Mus musculus: one gene and its partners. The protein of the gene in region 2 interacts with the protein of the main gene of each other region in a pairwise test. Links are inferred from orthologs where the notes say so. Each region holds a gene or a part of one and is shown on either strand. Other genes may lie near its edges. The genes, in order: Amotl2, Ralbp1 and Tsfm.

The links.
Region 1: the proteins of Ralbp1 (region 2) and Amotl2 interact in binary tests that used the Homo sapiens proteins (3 or more experiments, as listed by UniProt). The two-hybrid records come from large-scale screens. The link is inferred for Mus musculus from reciprocal best matches to the Homo sapiens genes RALBP1 and AMOTL2.
Region 3: the proteins of Ralbp1 (region 2) and Tsfm interact in binary tests that used the Homo sapiens proteins (3 or more experiments, as listed by UniProt). The two-hybrid records come from large-scale screens. The link is inferred for Mus musculus from reciprocal best matches to the Homo sapiens genes RALBP1 and TSFM.

Annotation. Positions count from the first base shown.
Region 1 is NC_000075.6:102,716,667-102,720,411, reverse strand, and holds the start of Amotl2 (angiomotin-like protein 2), read right to left. Parts: upstream 2,609-3,745; 5' UTR 2,510-2,608; intron 2,020-2,509; exon of another isoform or gene 1,699-2,019; intron 332-1,698; coding exon of another isoform or gene 270-331; coding exon 1-269. UniProt on the Homo sapiens protein: Regulates the translocation of phosphorylated SRC to peripheral cell-matrix adhesion sites. Required for proper architecture of actin filaments.
Region 2 is NC_000083.6:65,882,622-65,886,366, forward strand, and holds the start of Ralbp1 (ralA-binding protein 1), read right to left. Parts: upstream 2,303-3,745; 5' UTR 2,057-2,302; intron 1-2,056. UniProt on the Homo sapiens protein: Multifunctional protein that functions as a downstream effector of RALA and RALB. As a GTPase-activating protein/GAP can inactivate CDC42 and RAC1 by stimulating their GTPase activity.
Region 3 is NC_000076.6:127,028,254-127,031,998, reverse strand, and holds the start of Tsfm (elongation factor Ts, mitochondrial precursor), read left to right. Parts: upstream 1-1,184; 5' UTR 1,185-1,201; coding exon 1,202-1,255; intron 1,256-1,362; coding exon 1,363-1,536; intron 1,537-2,316; coding exon 2,317-2,445; intron 2,446-3,511; coding exon 3,512-3,634; intron 3,635-3,745. UniProt on the Homo sapiens protein: Associates with the EF-Tu.GDP complex and induces the exchange of GDP to GTP. It remains bound to the aminoacyl-tRNA.EF-Tu.GTP complex up to the GTP hydrolysis stage on the ribosome.

The DNA of each region.
Region 1 (3,745 bases), on a different chromosome or scaffold from region 2:
CTGTTCTCTGCCAGGTGGGTCTCTCCACCCTGATGCTCCTGGCCCTGGGGCTCCTGCCTGGTGGCTTGCTGCAGCACCTGACTGTCCTCGGGTGCTCCGATCTCCAAGGAAGCCTGGGGGCTCCCCGTGCCCCCAGCTCCAGCCCCACCCCGCAGGGCCTGCTGCTGGATAGCCAGCAGAGTGCGAGTCTCTGTCAGGTTGCCGTAGCGCAGCTGCTCTTGGATGAGACGGTGCAGGACTGTCCCTGAGGAGTCTTCCAGTGTCCTCATGCTTCTCTGGCTTGCACACACCTGCCTAGACAATGGCCAGCAGGCACCTGGTCTCAGAGCACCTAAGAGACAGAAAGAATAGCAGTCAAAGGAAGCACAAACAAAGGAGGGAGGGGCACTTGCAGGAACACTCTGGATGAAGGAGGAGGCTGGGTGGGTAGGTGGGTGGTTTTACACAGGCCCAGATGCAAGTGCTAATATGGCCATCTATTGATTAAGTTTAGTTACTGAGCTTCTGATCCTTAGTTTGCCATTAATATAAATATATATATGCATATATGTATATACATACATATATATGTACACACACACACACACACACACACACACACACACACAGTGTGTCTCTTGGAGTTGAAATGTAAGAAGCTGAGCGCCTGGTATGCTATAAATCCTTGGCAAATGCTTATCATTGTAACATTTATGGAGATTTAGCTGATCTTACAGATATACAACAGAAAACCAGAAGGCTATCTCATATCACAGTCCCCGGCAGTCAGCCATTACCCCAAACAATCTCATGGGCAAACTGTAGGACAGGCGTCCATCAAATTCAACCACTTAGCAATAGGGTTCCCAGTTTACTGGCAGGCGGTAAAGAAAGAATGTAGCCCAGCAGAAAGAAGCCCTAAGCAAATAATTCCATTGATTCTTTAGAATAAAGACGCGTGAGCCAGACCCTGGGCTCAAAGGCTGCTGATAAAATAAATCTGAGTCTCCCTGTCACAGATGACCTTAGCAGCCACTCTGCAAGGTGAGCAGCACAAGAAGCCCCATGGAAATTGGTGAGGAGGCAGAGGGGAGCTTGCAGTAACTGAGCCAGGGAAACATTTTCCATGACCACCAACCTCTTTTCTTGGCACACACATTTGCTACTTAGAAAAACCCCTCCCTACGTGTATGCTAGAGGCACACAGGGGATGATCCCTCTGCATCTCTGTTGATATTAGTAACAACTACCTATGCCAGTTGATGGGGTAATGAGGCGAGGGGGGAGACAAAGGAAGGGGGTGGTGGCCCCTTTCTGTGCCATACTAATGCTAGCCCCCTGTCCTACCTCAGTTTGGGAATGGTATGTTGGCAGAGCTGGAGAAAGGTAATGAGCCCTGACGATACCCAAGCCAGCAACTAATCCTCCCCCCCCCCCCCAACTGCACCCTGCAATGTGTAAGACTTGAAGAGTCTGCTCACACGCGGCTTTTTCTACGCGGTATTTCCTAAGTTAATCACTGTCTGGGCTGACTCGCGCTAAGGATCCGGGAGCGGCTAGAAGGAATGCTGAGCCTTCCCGGCAGATTCCAGGCGCGCCGACTATGAGCCAGGCTCTCGGAGCACCGAACATTTCCGAGGCCTTTCATCGCACAAACGTCCCAATCGAATCCCCTAGATGCACAATCTTTCTTTCAAATACTTATATAAGAGCACTTACTGAAAATCAACTTCCTTACACGGGCGCTGTACCTGGGCTGCACTGGAGCGCTGCACTCGGAAAACCAGCCACCTTTCTAAGCAAACACGGGTCTCTGGCCTTGGCCTGGGCTCACTCCAGCAAAAGGAACCAACGCTAGTCTCCAAGTCAACCAGGCCAGTCCAGGGTCCCGGCGTTACTCACCTCTACCGAGGCAGACCACTAGCACCGGTGGCTGCCCGAGCGCCCCGGGCGAGCAAAACCCGCAACCGCGAGAGGTCTTTAAGCATCGCGGGTACGCCTCTCTCCCTAACCCTCTTTGTTTTCCAAATACTTCAGCGCTGACGTCACCGGACTGGACAGCAGGCTGCATTCTTTCTAAGTGAGAGCCAGTTCGTGGCTCCGCAGAGGATTTTCCAAGGAAGACAAAGAGGAATTCTTGAGCTAGCTGAGGGTAAAAGCCACCTGTATCCCCAATCCAGACAAAGCAGCCACGGTAACCTCATAATTCAGCGAGATATGCCTACCGCAGCTTTTCACTTGCCCCGCACGCGAGACGCACACTCCCAAACACTGATCCTCTGTCCTTCCTCCAGCCCCAGTGGGTCGGAGAATGGTGTCCTCACCCCCACAAAAGCGCGAGCAGTCTAGGCTAGACACCCAGGATCGATCCTCGAAAGGGTTCACAGTCTCCCCTCCCGCTCCCGGGGAGGCTCGTCCACCCCAGCTCCGATCTCCAGAAAGGGTCGGACTGATCGCGGTGTCCCGCTGCTGCTGGGAAGCGTCCCCGCCGGCCTCGCGCACTGCCCGGAGTGCCCGGCACCTTGCTTACCGCTGCGGCCCGCGGCTGCCGGCGCACGCAGACCCGGTTCGGCTTAGGTACAGTCAGCAACGGAGGTGCGCACTAGTCGGTGGCGCCGATGATCTGCTTGCTCGCGCCCCAGTGCGCAGCCTCTAGGTCAGCCCGCGCTGGAGGCGGCTGCTATGCCAGGAATGTGAGAGTTTCAGGTTCCCCCTCGGGATCAAAGCGAACCACAAATAACCTCTCAGCGCGCCGCCCTCCTCCGCTCTCCGCCTCCCTCCGCTCCCCGGGCCAGCCCCCGCCTTCCTCCCGGGAGGCGGCGCTGCGGCTGGCCGCTGGGCTGGCCTCAGCCTTGTCCCCTTGCCACTCTGGGCTCTGGCGGCCGTGCGGCATTCATTCCCTGCCACCCTGCTTTGTGTCCTAGCTGTTGGGAGTGTCTTAACCAACTCGTCCCAAGATCGCCCCACCACTGCCCGCACCGGGTTCTCACCCTCCATTCCTACAGGCACCGAGGGACGACTCCAGGGATCAGCCTCTCACGCCCCTATGGTGGCTGTAAGAAGGGTCTGTGGCGTTTTGGAAATGGCGGGAGGACTGCACAGCAGTTCACATCCGCCCAGCCTTGACAGTGTTGCAGACGAAACGATGTTTCGGCCCGCCGCTGCCCAGCCTCTTTCCTAACTCCTACTATTTCACCCCCCAGCGGCAAACTTTGAATTGCACTTTTATTGTTTACAAACACCTTGGCCAGCTCTTTTAATCCTGCCTCTACAGGAAGTGTGTGAATCTGGGTTGAAAATCTGGTGGATTTAACCCACTACCTAACTAAATGAATCAACCACTCACTGGGCATTCGGTCCAACTCCTCCCTAACTCCGCTCATCTTTAAGCCAAGCACGCGGCGGGTCACCACTTGCTTTTTACTCGGCCATCCGACTCCAGTAACCCTCCGACGGTGCTCTTATCATGTCTGTAATAAATAAGAAACCAAGGTTCAGAGAGTCTAAACAACTTGCCTAGGGTCACACAGAGAGTAGCCAATGAAGCCAGGTCCCTTTTCTTGGTCTTCAAAATCCGGTCTCCGTAACCTGACAAGGCAGAGAGTCTCTGCTTCCACCTACCTGTCCCGAGTTTCAGTGTCTTTTCCACCTCGTCTACACCTAGCCAACCCTCTTTGTCTTCCGCTTCTCTGGCTTTTGGTGTGGAATCGACTCCTTTGTCATTTGGACCCTTCTACTTCCCCAGGAGACTCCTCCAGCTTAGCTG
Region 2 (3,745 bases):
TTCTAAATCATCTGCATTTCCCCATGTTCTGTCTTACCTATATTAGCATAAAGTCTATCAGGAACTTTCTTTTTAAAAGAAAAGAATAGCTGGGCATACATCCAATCCTAGCACTTAGGAGCCAGAAGCAGGAAGCTCTATGTGTTCTCAGTTCAAGCATCCACATAGGAAGAAGGATCCAGGCCAGCCAGGACTCCACAGTGAGACCCTGACACCCCTGTCCACCCCCCACCACCACAAAAAAAGAAAATAACGGAACATACTTTGGGATACTGTTGTGGACCTAATCGTTTCTTCCCGAGCTGTGACTATGCAAGTGTAACTGTACAAAATAAAGTTAATATTCACTTTTAAAATTTTTTATTATTTTTAATTATGGGGGGAGGAGGGCCATTGCCTGTGGAGACCAGAGGTCTTGGGTTTCCTGGGAGCTGGACTTACAGGCAGTTGGGAACAGTTACTGGGGAACAAACTCTGTAACTCTCCAAGAGTCACACTGCAAACGTCTTAACCAGTGAGTCCTGTCTCCAGCGCCAGTACACACTTTTTAAAACACCACTTCGGTCTCTCCAAATTACGAGGAAAATGGTCCCTGTAAACTTATTATGAGAAACCACATTTTGAAAAAGACAGCAAATTCAGCTATTGTAACTTGTTTCTAGATTCTCTGTGATTGTTTGTTTGTTTGTTGTTTGAGACAGGATTTCTGTTTAGCCCTGGCTATACTGGAACCCGCTCTGTAACAAGGCTGACTTCAAACTCACAGAGCTCTGCCTCCAGAGAGCTGGGACTGAAGGTGTGTGCCACCACCAGCTGGCTTCTAGATACTTCGTTTTAAAATTTACTTAACAGCAACTGCTATTAAACTAACCTATCTCTCTTGGGTCTATGGGACACACTGAAAAACAAGAAGCACTCTACTGACTGCAGACCTCTGAAAATGCTAACACCACTAACAGGAGTTCTTCATTTTGAAGAAGACATCCAGGACCTTGAAATCATCGAGATAATTCCTACTACAGAAAGTGATGGGACCTTTCCTTAAAGTGCTGTCTGAACACTAAACCAAAAGTAGGCTTATAACTTATCACTGAGTACTTTGTTAATAACGGCCAAGTATAGGTAATGCTACCCCAAAGCACCAGTGTTAGCCCACCCCCGTTCCATCAACACCACCAAAGCTGGGCAGTGCAACAGCTCAATGCCCACACTATAGCACTTCTGTCACAAGCACAGACCTCTAATGAAAACAGCTGTGATCTCTAAAAACCTTAGGGTACGCACGCTGCTCTCTCTGGAAGAATCCTTGTAATAATCTCCAAACTTGAACCAGCCCTACCTACTTCAGGAGACTGGAAAGTGGAGTAATTCGTCAAACCTGTTTCACAACGACATATTTAAAAGATGGAAAAAGAAAGCTGGCCTCGACTGAGAACACTCTGGTACGAAAACGCTTGAAAACGCCGTTGAGAATGGAGCTCCTAACTCCAGATCAGACAGAACACTTCTGAACCCTGGAACAAGTACCACTGCAAACAGGGTCGTCCCCTTGCCCAACGCCTGCCACGGGCGACAACAGGAGCTGTTCCCCCGACTCTACCCGGCAAACACGGAGACAGGTGGGCGAGCCAGATGCGCGAGGCAGATGCGACCCATAAACCGGAAGGCTTGCGTCAGGCCAGTCCCCGGCCGCAGCTCCGGCCAGGTGTGGCCCGCAGGGATGCCCCGAGGCCTGGAAGGGTCCGAGGAAGCAGCTGGACTCCCAACTAGCCTCTGGGTCCCAGAGCAACACAGGACACACCCGGGTGCTCCCAAGGAGGCCTGTCGGGCAGGCGGCGTGACCCACCCCAAAGGAGCAAGCTCCGGGGTGAAGCTTTCACGGACAACGTAAGGCGGGGCGGCCACGCCCCCCACCCCCAACTCCCATTCCGAGCCCGGGATCCCAAGCCCGGCACGCTGCGTGACAGGCGCGGGCGCGAGGCCGGGCGCCCGACGGCTCCCACGGACACCGCCGCAGCGTTGCGACCCCCGCGAGCGTCCGCTCCCCGCCACTGACCAGTGCCTGCCGCCGAGCGACCGTCCGCTCCGCTGCAGCCGCCGCCGCCTCCTCGCACTCACGCTTCCGCCACAACCGCCGCCTCCTGCGCTGCACCCCGGGCCGGCCGCGGGAGCCCCATTCCCACCCCGCCCAGCCTTCGCCTGTTTACAATGATTGGGACAGAACAGGACGAGCCGGCCCAGCGCGCACGCGCACGCCCTCCTCCCGCCGCAGCCGGCTTCCCGGGTCCTCGGCTCCTTGGCCGTGACGGCTAGGGCCGGCTAGGGCAAACGCCCCGCGTCCTCGCGTGGGGCACGCCGGGAGTTGTAGTTCTAGTTAACCCAACGCCCCGCTGCTGTAGGGCCCTTGTCTCCGACATAAACCACAACGCCCAGAAAGCACCGCGCCTCCCGAGCTGGAACTCGTTAAGGGGGAACAGGGAACCCGCGAGAGGATGCGCCAAACGCTAAGGCTCTGCAGGCGCCTGCGCAGTGTTCTGGGGAGCGAGTGGAACACACACACCTACCGGAGCGAATCCAAGTGAAAACAGTGTGGGAGCCCTGCGGAGCTCTGCTGGAAAGAAAGCGCGTTCCTCCCCAAGCTCTGGCCTGGTGTCCGCAGCTACTGAGAGTGACACTTTTCCCCCCAGCGTCTGCGTACTTTAAGTGGTTCCAACCAGTTAAACCAGCCTGGGCTGCTGACCCACCCCGCCTCTGGGCGGAGCACCTTGCTGGCCTTCTTTGGGCGGAGATCTTCCTTTGGAGAATTCTTGCCTGGGGGTTTGGAGAAAGGAGGCTTCTGGGGCCAGGGCTGGGCAATCCGCAGGACCCCTGAAGTGTGTTGACTTGCGGGAAACTGCTGGCTCCCACCCACTTGCCTCCGCAGTTAGCAATCCATACCCGAGTTAAAGCCGCACAGCATCACGTTCAGCTTACAAATAGAAACAGCTGCGTATCCTCCAGAAGTCCCCCACGAAGGACGGAAAACGTGTTGGCTGGTGCATACTGTAATAAACAGCACTCCATGGAATTATTCTGGGTTTATGACATTGGCAGTCAGAAGAGAGATGAGATTTCTAGTGTCTGCTTCTTCACTGATCCATCGTGTGCTACACTCCCAAGCCATCTTTGCTCAAATATGACAAGTCCATCCCCTTGTGCAAAAGAGTCACTCCCAGTGGAACACTGAGGTCCTAGAGGGACCTTTCCACAACCCCTGTAGCAATAAAACAGCCTCCATGAGAAGATGGCCTGTGAGTACGCCAGTTAAATTACTCCTTCCCGCTGGCAGTTCTGATTTGGTCAAGGGATAAGCACTGCCTGAGCGGGGCTTTATGGAGCCTTCCCTGGAATTGACATATGGGATAATGAGGTGGGGAAAGAGGCTTTTTTTTTTTTTTTTAACTGAGTAATTTACGTGTAACATCACGTGACTCGTTCACCGTGGAAGTGAATAAGGCTGAAAGCAGAGAAGTGGGGGACACAGCAAGGGAGAGGGAAAAGCAAGAGTGAAGACTGACTTCCTTCTGAGCCATAGTTTCTGCAGAGCCTTTAAGTGCCGCGTTTACGTGAGCCAATCCAGGAGTAATCTATGCACACTTTTTTTTATTATTTATTTGTGCTAATGGAGGTGCAAATAAAGAGCATATTTATTGGCTGTTTCTCAGCAGTCTTCCCTCCCCCTTAAGGAACACCACATAACCATTTC
Region 3 (3,745 bases), on a different chromosome or scaffold from region 2:
AGGAGAATCAGAGATGTCCCGTTGGTCTGTAGCTTCTTCATCCTTTGCAAAGCTCAAGACCTGATCACAGGCATCATGTGATCACATTCTGGATTGGGTTCGAGGTTCTTCTAATCTCTAGTTCTTCCTTCCACGTCAGGTTTTCCTTCTTGTTTTGCCTTCGGTTCTTGTCTCTCCCTCTCTGCAGCAGTCTGGCTCTTTTTTTACTTAGCCTTTCGGCACACAACCATCTTTGATGTGTCTGCCACTGTTCTCTTAACCTAGATGCCACGCCTCAAGCTCTTGCCATCTTCCAAAACCTGCTCTAATTAGCTTCTACTGTCAGAACAAACGTCTTTGCTTGGTACTCAGGCCACACACACCTGCTCCTAAACTACTTTGTATCTCATTTCCTACTCTGCTTCTTTTGCACTTTTAGCTAAAGTGTCTTAACGCTTTGTTCCCTAACTCTATGGGCATTCCCTGGCCTCTCCACTTTTCCGATGATCCCTTCCAGGAAGGGCCATTGCTCTCTGTCTACACTTATGCTTTGCTTCTGGAATCAAAAAAAGAAAAAAGAAAAAGAAAAATAAGAAGAAACCACTCCTTTTCCCGAGCTTTCTGTTTGGATGTGGTTTCCTTGACTGGAGATCTTTTAACTGGTTAGGGACCTTATATTGCCTTACCCGATTCTTATTTCCTCAGACCAATAGATGCATTGGAGGGTAGAGCTATGATTTATGCATCACCGATCCCCTGAAACTAGCAACAGCTCCGGGCACACATATGTTCAGTAGATATTTTACTAATTCAGCAATTATTTATTGGGTTTGTTGAAGGAACTCTGCTTCTCCAGGTGACCTTGGGCAATTTCCTGAGCCCACCCTACTTACCTGCCGTGTGTGTGTGTGTGTGTGTGTGTGTGTGTGTGTGTGTGTGTGTGTGTGTGTGTCCGGACTCATAAATGGATAATGAATATAAAAGTACATTGGAAATAAAGAAACAAAGTGTCACCTACATGTCTTGTGTTGTTATTTCGCAGCAACTTTACCGCTAAGTCTTTTGTGAAATATTTTAATGAATTTAAAAGAAGCGGGCACATCCCTCCTGCCAGCAGGTGGCAGCATCCTCGCGCCACGCGTTCTGGGAGGCGTTTTGGCTCTCGCGCCACGCCGTAGGCCGGCGTCCCGTCTGTGCGCCGATGGGCGGGAGGGCCAGAGGGATGTCGCTTCTGCGGTCGCTGCGCTTCTTCCCGGTCGCGTGCACCGGCCGCTCGGTGAGCGCGCGCGCCCTTCCCTTCTCCCGACCCTGGCCCCGCGGATGGTGCTCCCCCTCCTCCCGTTCTGCTCCGGGAGCTCATCCCTTTCTCCTTACTCTCCCCAGGCGAGGGCTGTCCTGCTCCAGCCGTCCCAGCCATGGCTCACGTTTCACGCCGGCCCCTCGCTGTCCTCTGCTGCCTCCAGCAAGGAGCTCCTTATGAAACTGCGGCGGAAAACCGGCTACTCCTTTGTCAACTGCAAGAAGGCTCTGGAGACTTGTGGCGGTGACCTCAAGCAGGTGGGAGGAGGTGCTGCGAGATTTGGTGCTACGGCTCCACCCCATTCTTTCCTTCCGGGGGTCACTCTGCGGAGCATAGACATGACCTGCTGCTGCCCAGTGTCCTGTGCGACAGAACTGGCCAAAGAGGAAAATTTGGCTTAAACGAGAGCTTTACCCTTCGACTGCGTTTTCACTGGAAGCAGTTAACCTAGAAACTTAACTTGCTGAATTCCATGTTCCTTATGGCTATGAGATTTGCTGCTGCCTGGAGATCGGTGTTTGTATAAATTTAGGAGTTAGACTCCAGAGGCTCTCACACCCGCTCAAACTCTGGAGATCGCAATGAATCCTTTCGTGTTGTCAGCGTTGTCTGTATAATGAAAACACTACCATCTATCCTATAGTGGGGTTGTAAAGATTAAAAGTAGAGAAGCAACAGCGACTACAGCGCTTGGTGTAAAGCATTTAGTAGTTTCTCTTATAGAATGTGGGTGTGCAGAAAAAGTCATATGGGGGCTGGAGAGATGGCTCAGCGGTTAAGAGCACTGGCTGCTCTTCCAGAGGTCCTGAGTTCAATTCCCAGCAACCACATAGTGGCTCACAACCATCTGCAGTGGGGTCTGATGCCCTCTTCTGGTGTGTCTGAAGACAGATACAGTGTACTCATACATAAGATAAATAAATCATTAAAGAAAAAGAAATTATAAAAAGTCATATATGGTTTGGACATATTTTAAAGTACCTTTCATTTCTAGTTCCTGTGACTGACTTTCCCCTCTGTTTCTTTTGCATTTGTAGGCAGAGGACTGGCTGCACAAACAGGCCCAGAAGGAAGGATGGAGCAAAGCCGCCAAGCTCCACGGGAGGAAGACTAAAGAAGGCTTGATTGGACTTCTGCAGGAGGGAAACACAGCTGTTTTAGTAGAGGTGCGTTGTTGGGATGCCACATACTAGAAACAGCTGTATCTTGGAGAGTACGATCTGTGGTGGACCCTTTGCATGCTTAAGGAATCTGTAAGCGGTGGCTCGAGTGAAGTCCCCAAGGCCTCCGTTATGTGACGGGATTAAGAATGTAAATGCAGGGCTTGAGAGATGGCACAGTGGTTAAGAGCACTGACTACCCTTCCTGAGGTCCTGAGTTCAATTCCCAGCAACCACATGGTGGCTCACAACCATCTGCAATGGAGTCTGATGCCCTCCTCTAGTGTGTCTGAAGACAGCTACAGTGTTCTCATATATAATAAGTAAATATTAAAGGTAAAAAAAAAAAAGAATATAAATGTCTTGATGGGAATTGTCCTAGCAACCTAGATCATTTATTCTAAATGTTAGACTTAAAATGTTAGACTGTAAGTGGTGGACTTAGAAACTAGTAGCAGGGTGCGGCAGCTCTCGCCTGTGTTCACTCCATACTTGGGAGGCCGGAGGATTACTGTGAGTTTGAGGGCAGCTAGGCTACAAGCTGGAATCCTGGCCTTTACTCTTAAACAAAACAAAACAAAAAACACGGTAAGAAAGTTGGTAATTATAGTAATGTATTACTCGGTGTATTGATGACTAGTAAGTAGCAGGCTTAGAGGAGTCTGTGGGGTCAAGGCGTGTAAAAAACAGATAAAGCTACAAGAAAGGAACAACATAAACAAATGTGGTTTGGGAGATGAACATGGTAGTTTGTGGGTGTAATTCTAGTGCACGGGAGGTAGAGGCCAGAAGGTCAGCTCAGGGTCGTCCTGGTCTACCTAACGAGTTCAAGGCCAGCCTGAGACACTTTCACAAACAGTAGGTGAAGTGGCCATGGTGCGAGTCCCTCAGGGTGTTCTGGAATCCTGCTGGGTATGCAGGCCTCGGCTGACTAGTTCCCTGGCTTCTGCCACCCCGGAACTGTGGGCCTGCAGCTTGTTCCGTCAATACCTTGGACAGGTCTCCAACCTTAAGGCACTTTTAGAAACTATTAGTAAACAGCTTATACAGCAATATCCATGCATTCCCACAGGTAAACTGTGAGACAGATTTTGTCTCCAGAAATTTAAAATTTCAACAGTTGGTCCAGCAAGTAGCCCTGGGAACCATGGCACACTGTCAGAACCTGACGGATCGGCTCTCCACGTACAGTAAGGTGAGCGTGAGGGTCGGCTCCAGCTTGCTGAGTTTTTGTCTTCCACATTTTAGGGTCTGTTCTTTTTCTTTTTTTACCTTTTTGGGGTGAGTGATTGAGGATTGAACCCAG